Drosophila melanogaster: one gene and its partners. The protein of the gene in region 1 interacts with the protein of each later gene in a pairwise test. Each region holds a gene or a part of one and is shown in the gene's direction. Other genes may lie near its edges. The genes, in order: EMC2A, CG32772 and CG14153.

The links.
Region 2: the proteins of EMC2A (region 1) and CG32772 interact in a two-hybrid assay, tested with the Drosophila melanogaster proteins (one large-scale study listed by BioGRID).
Region 3: the proteins of EMC2A (region 1) and CG14153 interact in a two-hybrid assay, tested with the Drosophila melanogaster proteins (one large-scale study listed by BioGRID).

The regions. Positions count from the first base shown.
Region 1 is NT_033777.3:16,993,002-16,998,561, reverse strand, and holds EMC2A (ER membrane protein complex subunit 2A), read left to right. Parts: upstream 1-2,490; 5' UTR 2,491-2,602; coding exon 2,603-2,636; intron 2,637-2,748; coding exon 2,749-3,157; intron 3,158-3,283; coding exon 3,284-3,440; intron 3,441-3,502; coding exon 3,503-3,751; 3' UTR 3,752-4,020; downstream 4,021-5,560. Other genes in the region: CG3534 (uncharacterized protein), read right to left, coding at 1-211, 270-1,097, 1,388-1,509, 1,914-1,973; CG31274 (uncharacterized protein), read right to left, coding at 4,465-4,831, 4,896-5,327, 5,382-5,425.
Region 2 is NC_004354.4:4,907,536-4,915,313, forward strand, and holds CG32772 (uncharacterized protein), read left to right. Parts: upstream 1-1,566; 5' UTR 1,567-1,784; exon of another isoform or gene 1,785-1,916; 5' UTR 1,917-2,223; coding exon 2,224-2,262; intron 2,263-3,316; coding exon 3,317-3,643; intron 3,644-4,845; exon of another isoform or gene 4,846-4,976; intron 4,977-5,207; coding exon 5,208-5,340; intron 5,341-5,409; coding exon 5,410-5,594; intron 5,595-5,668; coding exon 5,669-6,248; intron 6,249-6,310; coding exon 6,311-6,609; 3' UTR 6,610-7,626; downstream 7,627-7,778. Other genes in the region: CG6927 (uncharacterized protein), read left to right, coding at 1-1,072.
Region 3 is NT_037436.4:10,641,065-10,646,015, forward strand, and holds CG14153 (uncharacterized protein), read left to right. Parts: upstream 1-2,463; 5' UTR 2,464-2,478; coding exon 2,479-2,526; intron 2,527-2,592; coding exon 2,593-3,258; 3' UTR 3,259-3,551; downstream 3,552-4,951. Other genes in the region: CG32066 (uncharacterized protein), read right to left, coding at 137-401, 468-730; CG14154 (uncharacterized protein), read left to right, coding at 962-1,537, 1,640-1,813.

The DNA.
Region 1 (5,560 bases):
CCTAGCCGCGTCCGGGGAACTGGGATCCATTTCCCTGTTCCATCGCAGAATACCCTGCGCCTTGGGAATGATTTCCATGTCGTTAAAGTGCACGGCCATGTTCCCAAAGTTTCCACGGGGCGTGGAGTCGAGATACTCATTGAATTTATCCCAATCGCCGCCGGTTGTCTTCTTGTTCATTTCCTCACGGACCAATGAAGCATTTCTAAAACTGAAAAAGACATTTAAATAAACTAATTTTAAGATATAATGTCCCAGGAATAATTTACCATAGAAGGCCCATGAATTCTTCCGTTTCAGTTGGATGGCAGAGTATATGACCCTCCTCCCAGTTTAGCGGCTCCTTCAAGCTCATCATTAGGGTGTCACTTGTGCCCATGGAAATGGTAAGCCAGCTGCTGCCCACCAACATTCCAGACAGCGCCGAAGGATTGTCCCCCGTGCTAGCAGCCACTTTGCAATCGGGCGAAAAACTAAAGCGCTCCACAAAGTACGGAGAGACGTTGCCTAAAATCGAATTTGGACTGACCGGAATGTCCAGGCGCTTGTCCAAATCGGGTGCACAAACATTTAGGCATTCTTTGGACCAGTTCTTCTTGCGGATGTCCAGCAGATTCATGCCGGAACCATCACTGAAGTCAATTGGAGCGACGGAGCCCAGAAATAGCGATGATATAAAACTGCTGACCAATGAGATTCGGTTGGCCTCTTCGTAGGCGTGGCAGCGTTGCTGATATATCTTTCTAATTTGGGGACCCGTAAAACGTTCGTAGCACTTCGAGCCCGTCAGTTCCACCATGTTAAGTTTGCCACCAACAGCCATCTCCATCTCTAGGCACTGTTTGGTGGTGGTGGCGTCCATCCAAATCGGAGTACGATTTACCACAAAGGCGGAGTCGTCGATTTGTGCGTGAAGGAACTTCTCGGAATCGAGGTTTTGCAGCGTGTTGATTCCATGTTTGGACCAGTAGAGCGATCCGTGCTGCTGTCCGGAGCCACTGATGGCAGCTACGGTGCTAAGATCCGCTTGCTGCATAACCAGTCGGTCCAGGACAATGTCCATGGCCTTCACCCACATCACTGGTTGTACAAAGTATCTAAAGAAGAACAAGTAAAGGTGGAGTCAGGTTAGCACATATATATTTTATAGTACCCATTGTATATATGGTCCCTGTTATAGGAAGGTTAAAAAAAACTTGAAGTGATAGAGACCCATTGTGGTGTAATAAAACAACTGCTATGAAATAGGGCCCTAAGTATTATCGGACAAATACCCCACAGCGCAAGATATAAAAACGTAAAATATATCCCCCTATTTGCTTTACGCAAACAATCATCCCATTAAAATCTTCAATTGGAGTAATGGATAGTGGTGAAACAGACTCACTCATTTTTGATGGATCCAGCGTTGGCTCCACCGGTGGTCCGGAACTCCGGCAAGTCGGTGTCGAATTTCACTTCAGCCGCGGCAACCACCTCCAAACTGGAGCCCAGCAGGACGGCTTTGAGCTGAGAGGAGTAAATGGGGCAGCAATTAGCGATATGGAGACACACCTCGAAAATAACGATCAAACATAGAGGGCAACTAGGAGTCACCGCCAGCGTCATTCAGGGATTGTGAAAGTTATTGCGGCTCTATTAAGATAATGTCGGGGGCCAATACCTCCGAACATGAATTTCAATAATCAAACCATAATAGTTAAATCGGTTGGCGCTCGCGTCTTTAGCAGATAAGCGAAAATCGAGCCCCGGTCACCGCAACTGATAAGAGTAGTTCGTGTTTCAAGTTCCCGAGTACCGTTTGACCTTTTCCAGTAACACCATTCGCACGCAATTGGCCCAGATGTAGTCGATTTGGAGACGCCTCCACATCTCAGATGCAAAGATACTACGTAGGCAGTTCCAGTTCTCACCTTTTGCGTGCTCAAGTCGAAGCCAAGAAAGGTTCGTTTCAGCTGCTTTGGCGGACCCATGTTCAAACTGCTTCCGGATCTGTTGGGAGTTGGGGAAATTAAACACAGCACCGCATGCGGCACTGCCCGATTCCACGGCTTTAATACCCGGAGAGCACGAGAGACTTGGCTTTTGTTGACGGTACCACAATTATTTGATTTGTTAGTGTGACCGTCGCTGGAAGAAAAACTATCATGTTTCATGTTTTCGTTGGCGCGCTTTTCAAATGTGCACTTGACTTAGAAATCTGTTAAAATGGATAAGCAATGCACAAAGTTTGGACAAAATAAGATTAATGCATGGTAAAATAATTCATTAAAGAATCCTTTTCAAGGACCTACAAGTATTTCAGAAGTATTAACAGTTTAATTAACTTTGCAAATATCGGAAACAAGGTATATGTAGAAAAACTTAACTTTAGAAGTCTCTTTATAATAAAAAGTTTTAAAAAATTACCTCTGACTTCATTTCTAGACTTTACGATATTCAAAAAGCAGGTTGGCAGCGCCACGCTAGTGTTATTTGGTATAATCTAACGGCTCATTACGCTGCCACACTTTTATTTTGCCAAGAAGGAAATCGCTAGTTAATGATTACAATTGGGAAATTAAATTAAATTGATGAGATATTTAAGTCCGCCTAAGTGAATATGTCGCTAGATTATGAGAAGATGAGCTGGTCGGGTAAGTTTTCGGCTTTTCCCGGCTCCAGACAGGTGCAGACCACGTCAGTGGGTTGCTCCCAATTGCCATGAATGAAAAGTGCCGTATCATAAGCGTATGATCATCCTTTCAGATGTACGGGATCAGTTCAGAACGTGGCGCGAGGAGACGGGTCGCCACAGCGAGGAGGTGGTCCAGCTGTGGGTTGCTGTGCTAGAGGACAAGGTGCACAAGACCGGCAACGAGCGGCATCTCATCCTGGAGCAGGTGATCATCGCGGCATTGGATACGGCTCGCTTTGACATCGCCACCAAGTGTACCAAGCAGCTGTCCCTCGAGTTCCCGGGCAGCCTGCGCGTGATGAAGTTCAAAGCGATGCGCTACGAGGCCCTGGAGCAGTACGATGAGGCCGACGAGGTCCTGGATGCAATCATTGCTAAGGACGAGACAAATGCCGCGCCCAGGAAGCGCAAGATTGCCATCCTTAAGGCCCGTGGTCGTCGCCTGGAGGCCATCAAGGAGCTCAACGAGTATCTGAAGAAGTAAGAAAGCTAAGTTCATGGTGTTTTTGGAAGAACGGAACCAAATTAGTTTCCGGCATCCGGTTGCTAGACAACTACTTATCTTACCATGTACGATAATCTCATAACTATTTAATATTCCTTCAGGTTTATGTCTGACCAGGAGGCATGGCATGAGCTGTGCAACATGTATCTGGCTGAAGGCGAGTTTGGCAAAGCTGCCTTCTGCATGGAGGAGGTTTTGCTGCACAATCCGCATAGCCATCTAATACACCAGCGTTTGGCAGAAATACGATACACAATGGTGAGCTATATAAGCCCACTAACCAGTAATGAAGTCCATCTTATGAATTAATTTTCTTTCAGGGTGGCGTCGAGAATATGGAATCGGCTCGCACTTACTATTCGCAGGCCCTGAAGCTTAATCCGCATAACTTGAGGGCCCTTTATGGCATTTACTTGTGCTGCAACCATTTGGACAACTCTCGTGCTGTGAGCTCCAAACGGAAGGAGCTGCAAAAGTTGAGTCAATGGGCCCTCGAACAACTTTTGACTAAACAAACGATTGTACCCTTGGAGGCTGCCTTTGGAAACCTGGAAATTAAATCGAATTGACCAATATAAGCACTAATAATTTGTGCAATAGATGCCAGAATGTAATGGTTCCAAATATTCTCAGAAGTGGGTTTCCAGTTTCTGTTCTTTAAGCAGGTTACATAGATAAACAATTAAAGAAATAGGAGTAAAAACAATTTTATAGTCAGTGCATCCAAGCAACTGTTTTTGGTGGTCTAGTATTGTTGACGGCATTGAAACCGGATAATTTAAAACATTTATTATTGAGGTAGGCAAAAATAGTCCTGTAATAAATTTAGATTAAACGCAATGAACTGCTTTGAATCATACTTTTAATCTTTGGCCTCAAGTTTTAAGCAATATTAACTCGTGCCCATGTGCTTACATCCGTAAAATTAATCGGGCACTGAACGACATTCAGAATAAGTCGAAGAACATTTATTCTGAAGATGGTGCCTATTGTATACTTGACTATTCGCTGAGGTCATTGACTCTTATTATTGTAAAAATTGCTTTAATGCACTAGATTAATTCTCACTAGGTTTGTGCGTGTCCATCGTCATACAATTGCAAATTTATATACGTACATGGCAATAACCATATGCATATTTACTTGCATAGCACTGTAGGTGCAATCGACGACTGCAGGGCAGCGAGGGCAGCGCTGATAATCCAGCGGACGGTTAAAAATAGTCCAACAATGGGACAGAATGCAATCAGTGGAATACCCCTCCCTCCTTCGGCATATTACTTCAGTTTGTGGAGGAGCCGTTGCCAAACATCCGTCCGCTGTGCGATTTTCTGGAATACTTTGGACGGATGATGTCCTTGAAAGTGAATGCGGATGCGAGTGGAGGCTTTTCCGAATTGCTCGTGGAGTCCGGACCCTGTCCTTGTGAGGAAGACAGCGTCGCATAAGCTGCATTCCTGCTGGTTGGAAGTCCATCGAGATATTTTAGCTGGGGAAGCACCTGTAGTATATACTCGCGGGGTCCTTGGCCCCCGAAAACTGTGCGGATGCCAGGATTCCCCATGCAAGAGAGCTGATCCAGCGCAGGACAGTGCCGTTCGATGCGGTGTATCCAATCGGTTATATTTGCTATATCGCAATTGTTGATCCTGCAAGACGAATAGAATATGTGTTATTGCGTGGACCCATGTATGCAAGATTCAGGGTAATCACCACAAGATCCTTAAGCTCGGCAAATAAGGAAAAGTGTTTATGTCCAGGTTTACGTTGCGGTCCAGGATTAAAGTGTCCAGATCCTCGAAAAAGGAGAGAAATCTCAAGTTTCGGAAATCATTGTGACTCAAATCGAGAAACTTGGTCTGCGCTGCGAATTTGTCGGCCAGTCGCCGCGGAATTGTCTTCAGGTTCTCATAGGCCAGCGAAATGCGTCCGTTGTCCTCTAGGATGCTTTCCGAAAATGATACATCTTCACTTGGACAACTGCTGATGGAAATGTTGCCACTAAAGGAATACGGATTCGGCGTAATCATCTTCCCCACGTTGTCTTCGGTCAGCAAAACGTCGTTATATTCGTAGTTCAAGCTCTCCAGCGACTGAATGTTGGCACAATTCCTGAGGACCTCCGTTAGGCAGGGATTCAACGGGCTGGAAGCGGGATATTTTGGTCATTACATGGATTTTTGAATGCCTATCTACTACCTGTCTTCGGAGTTGGAGCGTTCAGAGGTCGATGTTCCAGACATAACGGCGTAGATCTACATAACTGGCAGCAGCTCCTATTCTTGGTGTTTTCCAATCGGGATCGGGACTCCGTCGGATGGTATTTATTTTGGTCCAACGTCTGTGGTAGACTGAGGGAAAAATGACACTTGACTCTC
Region 2 (7,778 bases), on another chromosome or scaffold:
ACTCTATTGCTGGCTCAACCTTAAGAAGTTCCCATTCGATGAGCAGCACTGCTCGACGGTGCTGGAGAGTTGGATGTACAATACGTCGGAACTGGTCCTCCACTGGGAGCAGAAGCGTCCGATAACCTACGATGGGGCACTGCATCTCACCGAGTTTGTGCTGCAGCGTTCCTGGTCAAACGAGACGGTAATCAATGCCGATTTGAGTGACCTGCGTCATGGAGCCTTTGCCGGCAACTACAGCTCCCTCAGCTTCACCGTTCACCTGACGCGAGTGGTTGGCTTTTACCTGATGGACTACTTTCTACCCTCCATGCTGATTGTGGCCATATCCTGGGTATCGTTCTGGCTGCAAGCAGATCAGGCGCCGCCGCGCATCACGCTGGGCACCAGCACCCTGCTGACATTCATTACCCTGGCCTCGGCACAGGGAAAGACTCTGCCAAAGGTTAGCTACATCAAGGTGTCAGAGGTGTGGTTCCTGGGCTGCACCATCTTCATATTTGGCAGCATGGTGGAGTTCGCCTTTGTTAACACGATTTGGCGTCGTAAGAAGAGTGTGCCCGTCAAGAAACTGAACAGCAAACACATCCTGAAGTCAACTCTATCGCCGAATCTGCTCAGACGACGCAGTCACGCCAGATCCAGATCCTTTTCGGGCACGGCTCTGCATAAGACAGCGGATACCGGCTCGCTGGGCGGTGCCGGTTTCAACAATTACCTAACCGTCAATTTGCCCATCACCACGATTAAGGAGGGCCAAGTTCTGGATCAGCAGAGGACCAGCCGCGTCGTCCAGAAGATGGATGTTAACTTTGTGGAGAGTGCCTTTGGATCCATGGGCTCTGCCCAGTCCACTGGAGCGATCAGTGCTGCCAGCAGCAGCCAAACTTTGACCAACAATAACCGAACGGAGAGCGCGGGGCACCAGGAGGAGATCGATCTGAGTGGCTGGACCACGCTAACGCCCCAGGAAATAGCCATGTGGATTGATAGTCGAGCCAGATTCGTTTTTCCGCTCTCCTTTCTCGTCTTTAATCTGTTTTTCTGGACATTTGTCTACTGTATTTAAAAAAAGGTCCATTTCATTTTATTATTAGATTACACAGTAGATTTAATATTGTGAAAAGTATCCAATTTAAAGTGTTTATTATTTGTACCCATCGTTTAGCATAGTTTGTTTAATTATTGTGAAAGTTTTGTATTATGTTTGTTTCACTTTGTTCTGTAAAATGATTTTATATTTATTCTGTTGTAAAATAAAGTTCATGATTCTATGGCTGCCTAAAAAACACCATCAATTATTTAAATAAAATAACCTATGATAAAATAAATCTTTCGGACTTGCAATTAAATATTAAATAAATAATAAATTAAAAAACTTGTTTTCAACAACGATTCCATTACCCGCCTCGTTTTCGATTACGGAAATCGATAGAAATATCGATAGGCCAGGCCAAGGAGCACCGGCCAAGCCAACCTGTGGGTTAGAGCAGCACAACTATACCGCGTATTCTTATCGTATTCGTTTTTTCCCCACACATACACACACACGGCTCACGCATACAGCGCAACAATAACATCGGGCCCCAAAAAAAAGGGAAAAAAGACGACGGACAAAAACTTCGTCGTGAATTGTAAAATACAAAAAAAAAACGCATTCGAACGCGCTGGTTTGTTTTTTTTTTCACGTGTAACTACGCCAAAAAAAGGGCAAAGGAATTAAGCAAAAAAAAGAAGCAGAACTTCGAAGCAGCAACAACAACAGCGCCGCATTTTTGCTTGTATGTGCAAGTGCAAGGCAAACATAAACAACGCGCGTGTGTGTGTGTACCACGAAAATATCGTATAAATCAAATTTCTATATCATTTATATAGTTTTTTTTTTGTTTTTGCCATCATAATATGCCATATAGCGATCACCGAAATCCAAACGCAAACCAAACTCCAAAAAGTTAGTTTCAAATACAACCACACATCGTTTGGATCGTGTTCACAAACTTATAGTAGGAAGGAAAAGGAAAAAGATAGAAAAAAAACGAACTAAATAATAATAAACGAAAAAGAAAAACGGCGCTGAATGTTAACCGGTAAAGATAGCGGTAAATTGCGAGGGAGAAGGACGACAACAACAACAACAACGACCGCAGAGGGGGCAAAAGTCAGCAACAAAGTGCATCCTCCTTCTCCTGCTCCCCATCCTATTCCTTATTTACTGTTATAATGGACACCATCTGTAGATTGTGCTTCCAAACGGCAACGGTATGTTAACAAAAAAAAAAAGATATACACACATGTGATTTAGGTATATACACTTTGTTATTTCTATTGATTTTTTTTCTTTTGGTGGAGTTTAAACAATTGAATTCGCGCTACTGTTATTGTGCGGGCGGGTTGTTGGCGCAGGGGGCGGGGTTCAAAAGCGCGCGCATTGCCCCCCTTTCCCCACACACATACAAACGCACACACACAGAAATAAGAAATACACATACACATGCGACCCCAAACTATTGCTGAACAATTTTTATTTTTAGCCAACTCAGCCCGAAAAGTTGTTCAAGCCGACAACTTGAAAAAATATTATTTTTACATTTTGCTTACGCTCGCCACTCGCTTTTCACTTTGACTCCTTTTCAACCTATTCCCCCGAACAGGCCCCCCTCTTTCAGCCCCCTCCCGCCGCCCATGAACCGCACAAAAAGAAATACATATTAAAACAAAATGACAGAAATTGCGCCAAGGCAGCCAAATACGCAGTGGCTGCGCGTTAATTTAGTGACAGAGGGTTTACTATATTGGGCATCTAAGCCCAAAAATTTAAAGTTAAGCGGTTATAAAACTAACAAAACAGATCTAACTTTGCTTGGTTTTTAGTTCATTATTTAAACAATTACCAAATAACCCCTTTTTTGTAGGCGACGCCTCTGCCGCCGCCGCTGGCAGAGCGGCGGCAAAGCAAAACAAAAAGCGAAAGAATAACAAAACGTTGTACCGAAGAAAAAAAATAACATGAAATGAAAACAACAACAACAAAGCAACGAGCTGCTGGTGCTGTTGTTATTGTAGTTTCTTTTCTTTCTTTTTCGCTCTCCATGTGTGCGTGCCTGTGTGTGTGCGTGTGTTTATCTTCTTGGCTCTTATTTCTAGTTGGTGGAAAAGAGAAAGGGCTAGTTGGCATGGAAGGGGGAGGGTATGTGTGGAATAAGATTGAGTTGCCACAATAAATAAAGAGCATTATTGGTTTTTTTTTTCCAATTGGAAGCACTCTCTAATTCACGTGTCCTGTTCTGTTCTATTCTATTCCCCCGCCCTACAGTTGTTCCAGGTGCCCGGCTATAGCATACCCACGTGCGTCCGCTGCTCGGAGCAGTTGACAAATAATTCCAACTTCCATCAGTCGGCGGCGGCCGCTGCAGCCGTCGCTGCCTCTGCCTCGGCCGCAGTTGCCGCCTCTGCAGCAGCGGCGGCCACCTCCTCGTCGACGGCCTCCTCCAGCGACAGCGACGCCATCGCGCAGCAGCAGCAGCATCAGAATCCGCAGCAGCAGCAGCATCAGAACTCGCAACAGCAACAACAACAACAGCAGCAAATGCAATCATCCAGTTCTTCCGAGAACCTACAGTCGCAGGACGACTCCGAAGACGTAAGTCCATTTCAGGGATTGGGATACCAAGGCAGGGAGAGTGTTGCAAAGGGCATAGTGAGTGGGTTGCACTACGTGTAGTGTTACGAGAGGCATGGCAAGAAGTGGCAGCGAATACAGTGCTGCAAAGGGCTTACTAAAGGAGATAAATAAAGTAAATAACTGAAGGTCGTTCTTATTTTCAACTAAAATATGAACGTCTTGAATATGTATATTAATATCTATGAATAAATTTAAAATTTAATCCTAATGTTTAATAGTCCACGAAAAGTGTTCTATGGTTTAGGAATCCAATCAATGCAATTGCCCATCAAACTATAAATGATTCAAAAAAATTGACAATTTAAACCTAATTACAGAGTTCACTGCAATCCTCAGTAGATGCATTGCATTTGGAATTATAGGGGTTTGAAGACCCCCATCAACCGTTTTCAGAAGAGTGCTTTACTTCCCAGGGAGTTCGACTCCTGCTCCTTTTGCTGCACTTGTTTATTATTGTTGTGCTATTTTCTCTTCATTTTCTTACATTTCACTACTACTCCCCCGCTCACAAAAGTCTTACATATACATATACATAAATGCACACGGACACACTGCACATTCATAGCCGCTGCTTTTCTTCTTCACTTCTTATTTCGCCGTTTCTTTGCATGTTCTTGTTGCCTTTCTTTTTCCATCATGCAACAGAGAATTGCAAAAAAAAAAAATGTATAAATAAATGTAAAATTGCCTTGCGACGACTTGGGAATGCTCTATTGCAGACATGTTTAGATACTATTTACTATTGCTGCTATTTACATAAATTTCAAAAAAAAAACTTCAGTACAGTCTCATTCCATCACACAGTCGACGTGGTAGTGTTGGAAAGTTCTTATAGAAGATTAAAAACGGTAGGCCCTACAGATATGCATTACAAACGGGTTAGAAAAGTGTTGAGCGTGAGAGTATTTTCTATTCCACTTGCTACATTTCGCACTGCTCATTTTCTTGTTTTCCTTTATATTTATATGTATATATATATATATATATAGATATATGTATATACACATATATTTTGTGCTTCTTTTTCCATTAATATCTGCTCTGTCGACGTCGACGTCGAAGTCGACGCAGCTCGGCGTTTTTGTGCGCTGTGTAAAGCGGAAAAAATTCATTTTCAGTTGGCGCTTTTGGTGTGTGGGTGTGCGTGGCACGCAGAAAAATAAATAAAATAATTATAATAAAAAAAAAGCTCGTGAAAAATATTAAATGTAACTCAAGTGATTCCCCAATAAACAAACTGAATTCGCACGGGAATTTGCAATCCGTTCTTTTGGCCGCCAGCTTGTTGAGCGTGAGTGGGAGTGGGAGGGCGATAGTGACACAGTGATGTGCACTTGGCTACTTATTCGTTAGAACTATATGCATATATAATGTACAGCTTAGAAAAAAGGTTTTTCGCATAAATTTATAGTAGGTTGTATTAAAGTAAAATGGCATATCATATATAATGCCTTTCTGATGGAAGGTAACCCGCGGTAGAAGGCAAGCCCTTTGCAACTAATGTTCGATTTGTTTCTTTAAGGTGGATCTGATATTCAACGAGGAGGGCTCCTGCCCGCTATGCAACAAAACTTTCTCGCGCAAATCCTCGCTCATGACGCACATACGAAATCACTCGGCGGAGCGTAAGTTTGTGTGCACCTACTGCCACAAAGGTGAGTCCCATATGCCGTTCGCACACATCATCTGGTTCTTAACAATCGATGTACCTCTTGGATTTTCAGGCTTCACGCAGGCGGCCAACTTGCGGAACCACGAACGCATCCACACGAACGATCGGCCATATCAGTGCGTGGACTGTGGCAAGACCTTCACGCAGATCACCAATTTGAACAATCACCGCCGGCTGCACACCGGCGAACGGCCCTTCGTTTGCAATGAACCGGAGTGCGGTCGCAGCTTCGCCCAGGTCAGTTCCAAGATAAATTGATAAATTGCAGAGGATTTATGATAATAACGGCTCGATATGTTCTCGCATTGCAGGTGACGAACCTGAACAACCATATGAAGTCGCACCACAAGGTGCAGCAGTACTGCTGCAACGTGTGCAACAAGAAGTTCACGCAGGTGACCTCGCTGAACCAGCACCTGCAGGCGCACGCTGGGGTCACCGGCTACTACTGTCCGCGTTGTCCGGAGAAGAACTTCAAACTGCAGTCGCAGCTGCATACGCACATGAAGACCCACGGCCTGGCCTTTCCGTACGAGTGCGACAAGTGCGACGAGAAGTTCCTGCAGCAGGCCCATCTCGACCAGCACCTCAAGATGCACGACGAGTTCAAGTTCAAGTGCGACATCTGCCCGAGTAGCTTCAATCAGGAGTCGCTGCTGAAGAAGCACGTGCAGCGCCATGTCGAGGGTCGCTACCTCTCCTGTCCGGTGGCCAATTGTGCCGAGTCCTTTGCGGTGCGCCAGCACCTCTCCAAGCACCTGCTCACCAATCACGCCCACCACGAGCTGCCGCCTCCGAAGCGATCCAAGAAGGCGGGCACGCTGCAGACGTCGCAACAGCCGCTGGCGATGATCGGCCAGCCGTTGTCACTGCAGCACACGACAGGGCAACGTAAGTGCTCACCATTCACTCATTCACTTTGAATCTCACTACGCCTTTCGTTGCATATCCAGGTGGGCGTCCGCCGAAGAACAAGAACAAGGCGACAACGCTGGCCGCCACGGCCATCAAGATCGAGATCAACGAATCGCTCCACAGCCAGCATATCAGCAATGTCAGCGGCCTGTCCATCCAGCAGCAGATCAATCAGCACATGCAGCAGCAGGCGGCACAGCAGCAGGCGCAGCAGCAGGCGGCACAACAACAGCAGCAGCAGGCGGCGCAACAACAGCAGCAGGCGGCGCAGCAGCAGCAACTGCTGCACTTGCCGATGGGACAGGCGGTCAAGGCGCGTTTCATACCCACTAAGTAGGCTAGTTAAGAATGGAAAGAAGGTCTCTTTTAGCTTAAGCCCCGAACGATCAGCTGCTAAAGTCCCTGATTAGCATAGCCATAGCCAAAGTAGCATCACATTCAGCACATACACACGTAAAATATGTTAGATATATGGCGCGGATGTTTTGGAGTCTCTGCAGATCTCTAAATACTTTTGGGTGTCTGAAGTTGATGTAGAAATCATTCTTTATATGCGTTACCCGTGGAGTTAAGCGTATGCTGGATTGGTGAAAAAAAGGTATGGAACAGGCAGTAGGAAGCGTTTTCGTCCTTGAATTCTGAATCAGAATGGAATGGGGGAGTTAGTCGAGTTCATCGATTAAAGCTAGCTTTTAGTTTTTCTGAGATGCACTTGTCCTACTCTCGCATTGAGTTCAGCATCAACTTTTTGGGTATCAGAATCCACTTAATTATCTTGAAATCGGCGAGTGGACTTCCAAAACATCCCGAATTTAGAGTCGGCGGCAAGCTGCTGGTTCAGTTTGGTGTCTGTCTCCCACTTCCTGTTTTGAATTCAGCAGCCAAAGCAATAGAGGAACCAAATGCCCCTGAATAAATTTCCAAGAATATTAGCAGCAATGCATGACATCGAAAGAGATAAGGAGAAAAAGCAGCAGCACCAGATGGACAGACAAAAACACAACTGACTTATAAAATTATGCACATAACACCCACATCTATATATACATTATATTATATAAACATGAGATCGGGTTGAGAAATCTGTAAAACTTAAATCGAATTAAAATTTTATTGTAATGCAAAGGCGCAGCGAAACGGAAAATATAATGTTGAAAAAACAAAAAAAAAAAAAAAACAGAAAGCAAATACAAATTACCTACAATTGATAGTAATTACGCATAGAGAAAAGTAACGAAAACAAGAAGTGAAAAACAATTCGATTAAATTCGGTATGTATTTATGTTAGGCATTAGCTTAAGTGTTTTTATTTTTTTTTTAATAAACCATTACAAAAAATCAACATTAAGAAACGAAAACAAGCCGACAAATTTTCATTACAACGAAAGATTTCTTCTGAATGGGTGAAATTTGTTATATATTTTGAATATATATATATAAATATTTCAGAAGTGACACAAGCGATCAGTTTTATATAATACATATATGTATATATAGTTTATTTGC
Region 3 (4,951 bases), on another chromosome or scaffold:
TTTACAAATAATACAGAAGCCTACTAATTACATAAATAAAGGTAAAAAACCATTTAAATCGATACGCATACACATAGAAATTAACGTTAATGAACTCTCCGCCCACACCGGCCGCGCCCACCGATCCCCTCCAATATTATGCGGCCAACAAACGCTGTATATTCTTCGGCGTGTTCTCCCCATTCAAATGCTTCGTCGTGTATCGCAGGGCATTCAGCAGCGGCTCCGCCTTGATGGCCGGTTGCGCCTGCAGCAGTCGGACGCACCCCTTCACATCCACATGGGCGCCACGCACGAAGGCTCCCTCCGGATGCACATGGTCGTAGAGGATCACCAGGCCGACCATTACGCGCAGCACCAGCATTTTCGTGTCCTCACGCTCGATCTGTTGCAGGAGTTTTCTAAAAGCAATATTGTCCATCGATTAGAATACTTATTATCATTGATAGTGATTCATTTAAACTCACGGATTTTCCAGCATCCTCAGGCACACCTTGGCCATGGTGCCCAGCGTTTCCGTCGTGTTCTGGACATCATCGGCATTGTCATTGACAAACTTTGAGGTCGCCTCGCTCAGCACCTTGAGCATGGGCGTGGCGTGGGCGTAGAACAGGGACATCCGGTTGGCCAGTTCCGTGCTGACCAGCATATTCTCCGTGGAATCCACACGCTGTCGGCTGACGATGCGTCTGTAGTAGCTAAAATCATTCTGTATGGCGGGGGTTTTCATCTGAAAAATAGAAATATACAATACAACTTAATAAGTTTATCACTTTGAACATGATTTTAGGTATGCAATATGCCTAGCAATGAAATATTATCTGGCATCATTTCGAAACATCCGTCAAAATGAGCAAGCAAAACAGTACGGGATTTAGGAACATATTCAAAAATATTTACAAACGAGACATGAAAGGGTAAATTGAAAATTATTTAGTTAGTTTTCTAATCAACTTTTGGGATGTTGATTCGCACCGCTCGCAGAAACAGACAGAAGACCTTCGTCGTGGAGGATTCCGAATCGCAGAAGCCCGAAAAGAATCCGAGTCCCGAGCGCAAGGAGGATCGCAAGGAGCGCAGGAGGGAGGAGGAAATGGAACGCAAGCGGGAACTGGAGCGGCGAAAGGAACTCGCGAGGGAAAAGGAACGAGAGAAAAAGCAGCATCAGCAGGAGTGGCGCAAGGAACTGGAGAAGGAACGTCAGCGTGAAAAGGAATTGCAGCGTGAACATCTGAGGAAGGAGCCATCCACTTCCTCCAAAAGGGTAAATCCAGAAATCACCAAATTCGACGAGGAATTCGAGCAGGATATTCAGAAGTTGGAGCAAAGCATTTGCCAGCTGGACTTTCGCTCCAAAACGATGGCCACCATGTGGATGGACAAGCTGCGCCAACCACCACAAAATGCAGACGAGGCCAGATCTAGGAACATAATAACATCCCATCTGCTCAAGTGCTGTGGCGATAACATATTCAATAAGGAGCCATTCAATCATCCTCCGCCACCACAAAATTTGACAACCATAAGGGAGATGATGGTGCGTTTAAAGCAAGTCGTTCTTGAAATATTAAGCTATAGTCATATTTAGACAATTTTTTCTTTTCACTGAAATCTAATTATTTTGTATTCTTTTTTCTAGTTCTTAACGCGCGATAGTACGTGCCACGGAATGCCCATTTCCAAGCAGATGGAACCCAACGCCAATCTAACCCAATTATTTAGCGATTCATACGATGGTGGCGAGTTCCTGAGAAAGCTTCCAGTGCCACGTGATGGGGCATTCTTTATCTATTACATGCAACCAAATTTGTAGAAGTGAATTGGATTTTAAAGTAACGCCAGCTAAATTTCAAACATAAGTCTTCAATTTGTATTTTTTATACAAAATGTTAGTAAGAAAACGTTGATACCCTTTACTATAATAAAGCAAGCTCGAATTGTTTCTAATTTTGAAGTTCAGTCATATTTTTAGATAAGATACATATGTAGGGAAACGGACTTGTAAGTTTTTCTTCTAGCAAGCAGCTTTATCAACAAGATCATAAGGTATGCAACTATCGGTTGCTTTCAACACTCGCTCTTGTTAACCTCTAATTACAGTTGACTTGAAAATCTAATTACTAATTACGCGGTACGTGACACCGCAATTTGCCTGCCGCCCGTGTTGCCAATGCTTCCAAATGGTTTTCCACTACGGGCCAGGCCCAAAACAACGATGCCGCACTTAAGCTGTCAGGGCTGCAAAAAAACGTGCGTGAGAAAAAATACAAACATTACAGAAATGCCGCCTGCTAAATTTTTGAGTCAGGTAAAGTGGGGTTTGCTCATCCAATCACCTTGACAGAGGCGCTGCTGCAAACGAACATCATGCACTACTATACATTACTATACTATATATACTATATGGCTTTCCAGAGAGACTGTTGTGAAACCTCATATAAATACGTTATTAGCATAAATCGTTCTGAACAGTCAGAAATGAAGCCGCAAACAGGACGGATCGTGAAGAGCAGCTCGTCGAGCTGGGTGAGTGTTTCACTAGATTTCCATTCGGACACCCGAGATGATTAATCTATTAATGATTATTCCAAGCTATGTGCACTTATGCCCCTGATGATCGATGCAGTTTGTGGGAGAGCTCAGTATGCATCACCTTATGGCAGTGCTTATGCAATTACCACATCCAACTACGCTCAATCCAACTATGCCAATCCAGATGTACAATCGATATGGTCGGGTCCGCCTATCATAGTGAATGATAATCAGTACAGTGCCCAGGAACAGCAGCAGTATCCAAAAAGTAATGGTTATTATGTTGCGGAACCTGCGTATAGACAAGCATATCCAAATTGGAGAAGGGAAGACCCAACACATGCTCCCAATCACAACTATAACAATGTGCCCGGCTACTTTTACTATCAACAACAGGAGACTACGCCATCAACACCTCTGCGCTATCCTCAATCTCAAATTCCACCTCAACTTCAGCCATATCCACAAAGGAATCCGGAATTGGAGACCAGCGATTCGGGTCGCGATGAGGAGCAAGTGGTCCAAATTGGCGGCAGTCGCTCATTGGCCACAAATAACTATCTAAATACGTACAATAATAAGGAGAATTTCTATGAACCCGCTCAGCCCTGGAGGCGTCGTGATTACCAGGCCAAATATGCCCAACATTTTGCCGAATATTTGCGTAAATATCCAAGACGCCTGCAGCCAGTTTACAACACCAACGAGGATTTTGTTGAAAAGTAGGGGAATACTCTGCATTTGACTTTGCATCAAAAAACATATTGAATAAATCCCCTCAAGAGCCATTAGCAATTTTCGTTGAAAGCGTGCCAAGAAAACTATTTCTGTCTGTACTCGGAACAGATCAATTGCATCCGATAAAGATACAGATTGCAGCTGCTGTAGAGTCAACATGCCAACACAGTAAATATTGGTTTATCCCTTTAAAAGGCAAGAATAATAATAATTGTATGTAACAAAACTATGCTTAGTTAGTTCCGTAAGAGATACACAACAATAAAAGTTATTTTCAGAAGATTTTAATTAATTTAAAAAACTTCACTAAAAGGGAAATACCCATTTTTTGAAGCATGTTCTTTGTATTCTGTGGCATGCGTTGAACTTTGAATATCAGTGGTTAACTTACATAAAGGAGCACTAAAGCCAAGTTTATTGTACTCTATACAAGTGCCTTCTCGATGCCCCAAGATTTTTCGCAATAAACGCGACATTAAAACGAAGCAAGTTACAAGCAAAGTCAATAAATTGTACAGCATACTTTGGGGCGCACTGAAAACTGGTGGCAACAAAGGCGCAGAAACAATGCTCCTCCTCTTCGAGAAACGGAAGTGGCAGTTAGTTGGGAAGCACGTTTGGGCTATATAGTATGTACATACATACATATATATATATCGGTGTATACATATATGCAACTTTTTACACGGGAAAATCTGTGAGCGCCCGGCGGCTGACACTTTGAGCACACAATGAACGTGCAGTTTGCAGCGTTTAACATCATCATCATCATCATCGCCATTATCATTACCATTATCGTCGGGAGCACAAAGTTGCAGACACACTAGACATCAGAGACTAGAAACCGACGATGGCGATGACTTCGCCATTCCCTACCTCCACCATTATTTACCCGATTGTCCTAGATCCCAGCTTTCAGCTATACATATAGTGCTCCACAATCGATTTGAATGAAAGTTTCGCCAAACGGAAGCGAACCATGGGAAATGCGCCATTCACAGGGATTTGCCATTAAACAAATCGATTTTATTTGACTCCAGACAATCAACCGGCATATCCTCCAACTGCCGCAGAAACTGATGTGGCTCTGTGTAATGTGTTTTAACCCAGTGCGGGGATACGTTTGTGTTTGCATAGTTCACAGGCCTTTGTTATGGCCAAACACTTCAGGTTAGCCAACATAATTGAGTGTTTGAATTTCATTAAAAACCTATTGATTTTGTGGGCATTTTTTAAAGAGTTTATGCTAGGAAAATAGTGTGGTTATTGTGCGTTAGTTGCAATGAGTAATATATAATCAAACAAGAACGGAAAAGGTAATTTAAAATAAAATTAGGAAAATGAAAAAATACTGAACAACGTTCCTTTTATAATAATCACAAAAAAAAAAAACGCTGTATAGTTTTTACACACGCACTTAATAAACATTTGTTAGCTCTCATAAATAACCTCTTGTTTACTTTTTGAATTGTACCCTTGTAAATCTTTCTCAATCTAATTTTTCCGTCTTGTACATACATTTTTATAATTTTCTTATATAAGTGAGATATTCTACTTTAATGACCCGCACTGTCAGGCCACCGAAGCCGACATAATACACTTTACATCTTCATCCGGCCATCGGTCGTTTGTCGTGGGCCATTTGGCTTGCGTGCGCGTAAGTGCCAGCGATGCTCCACTG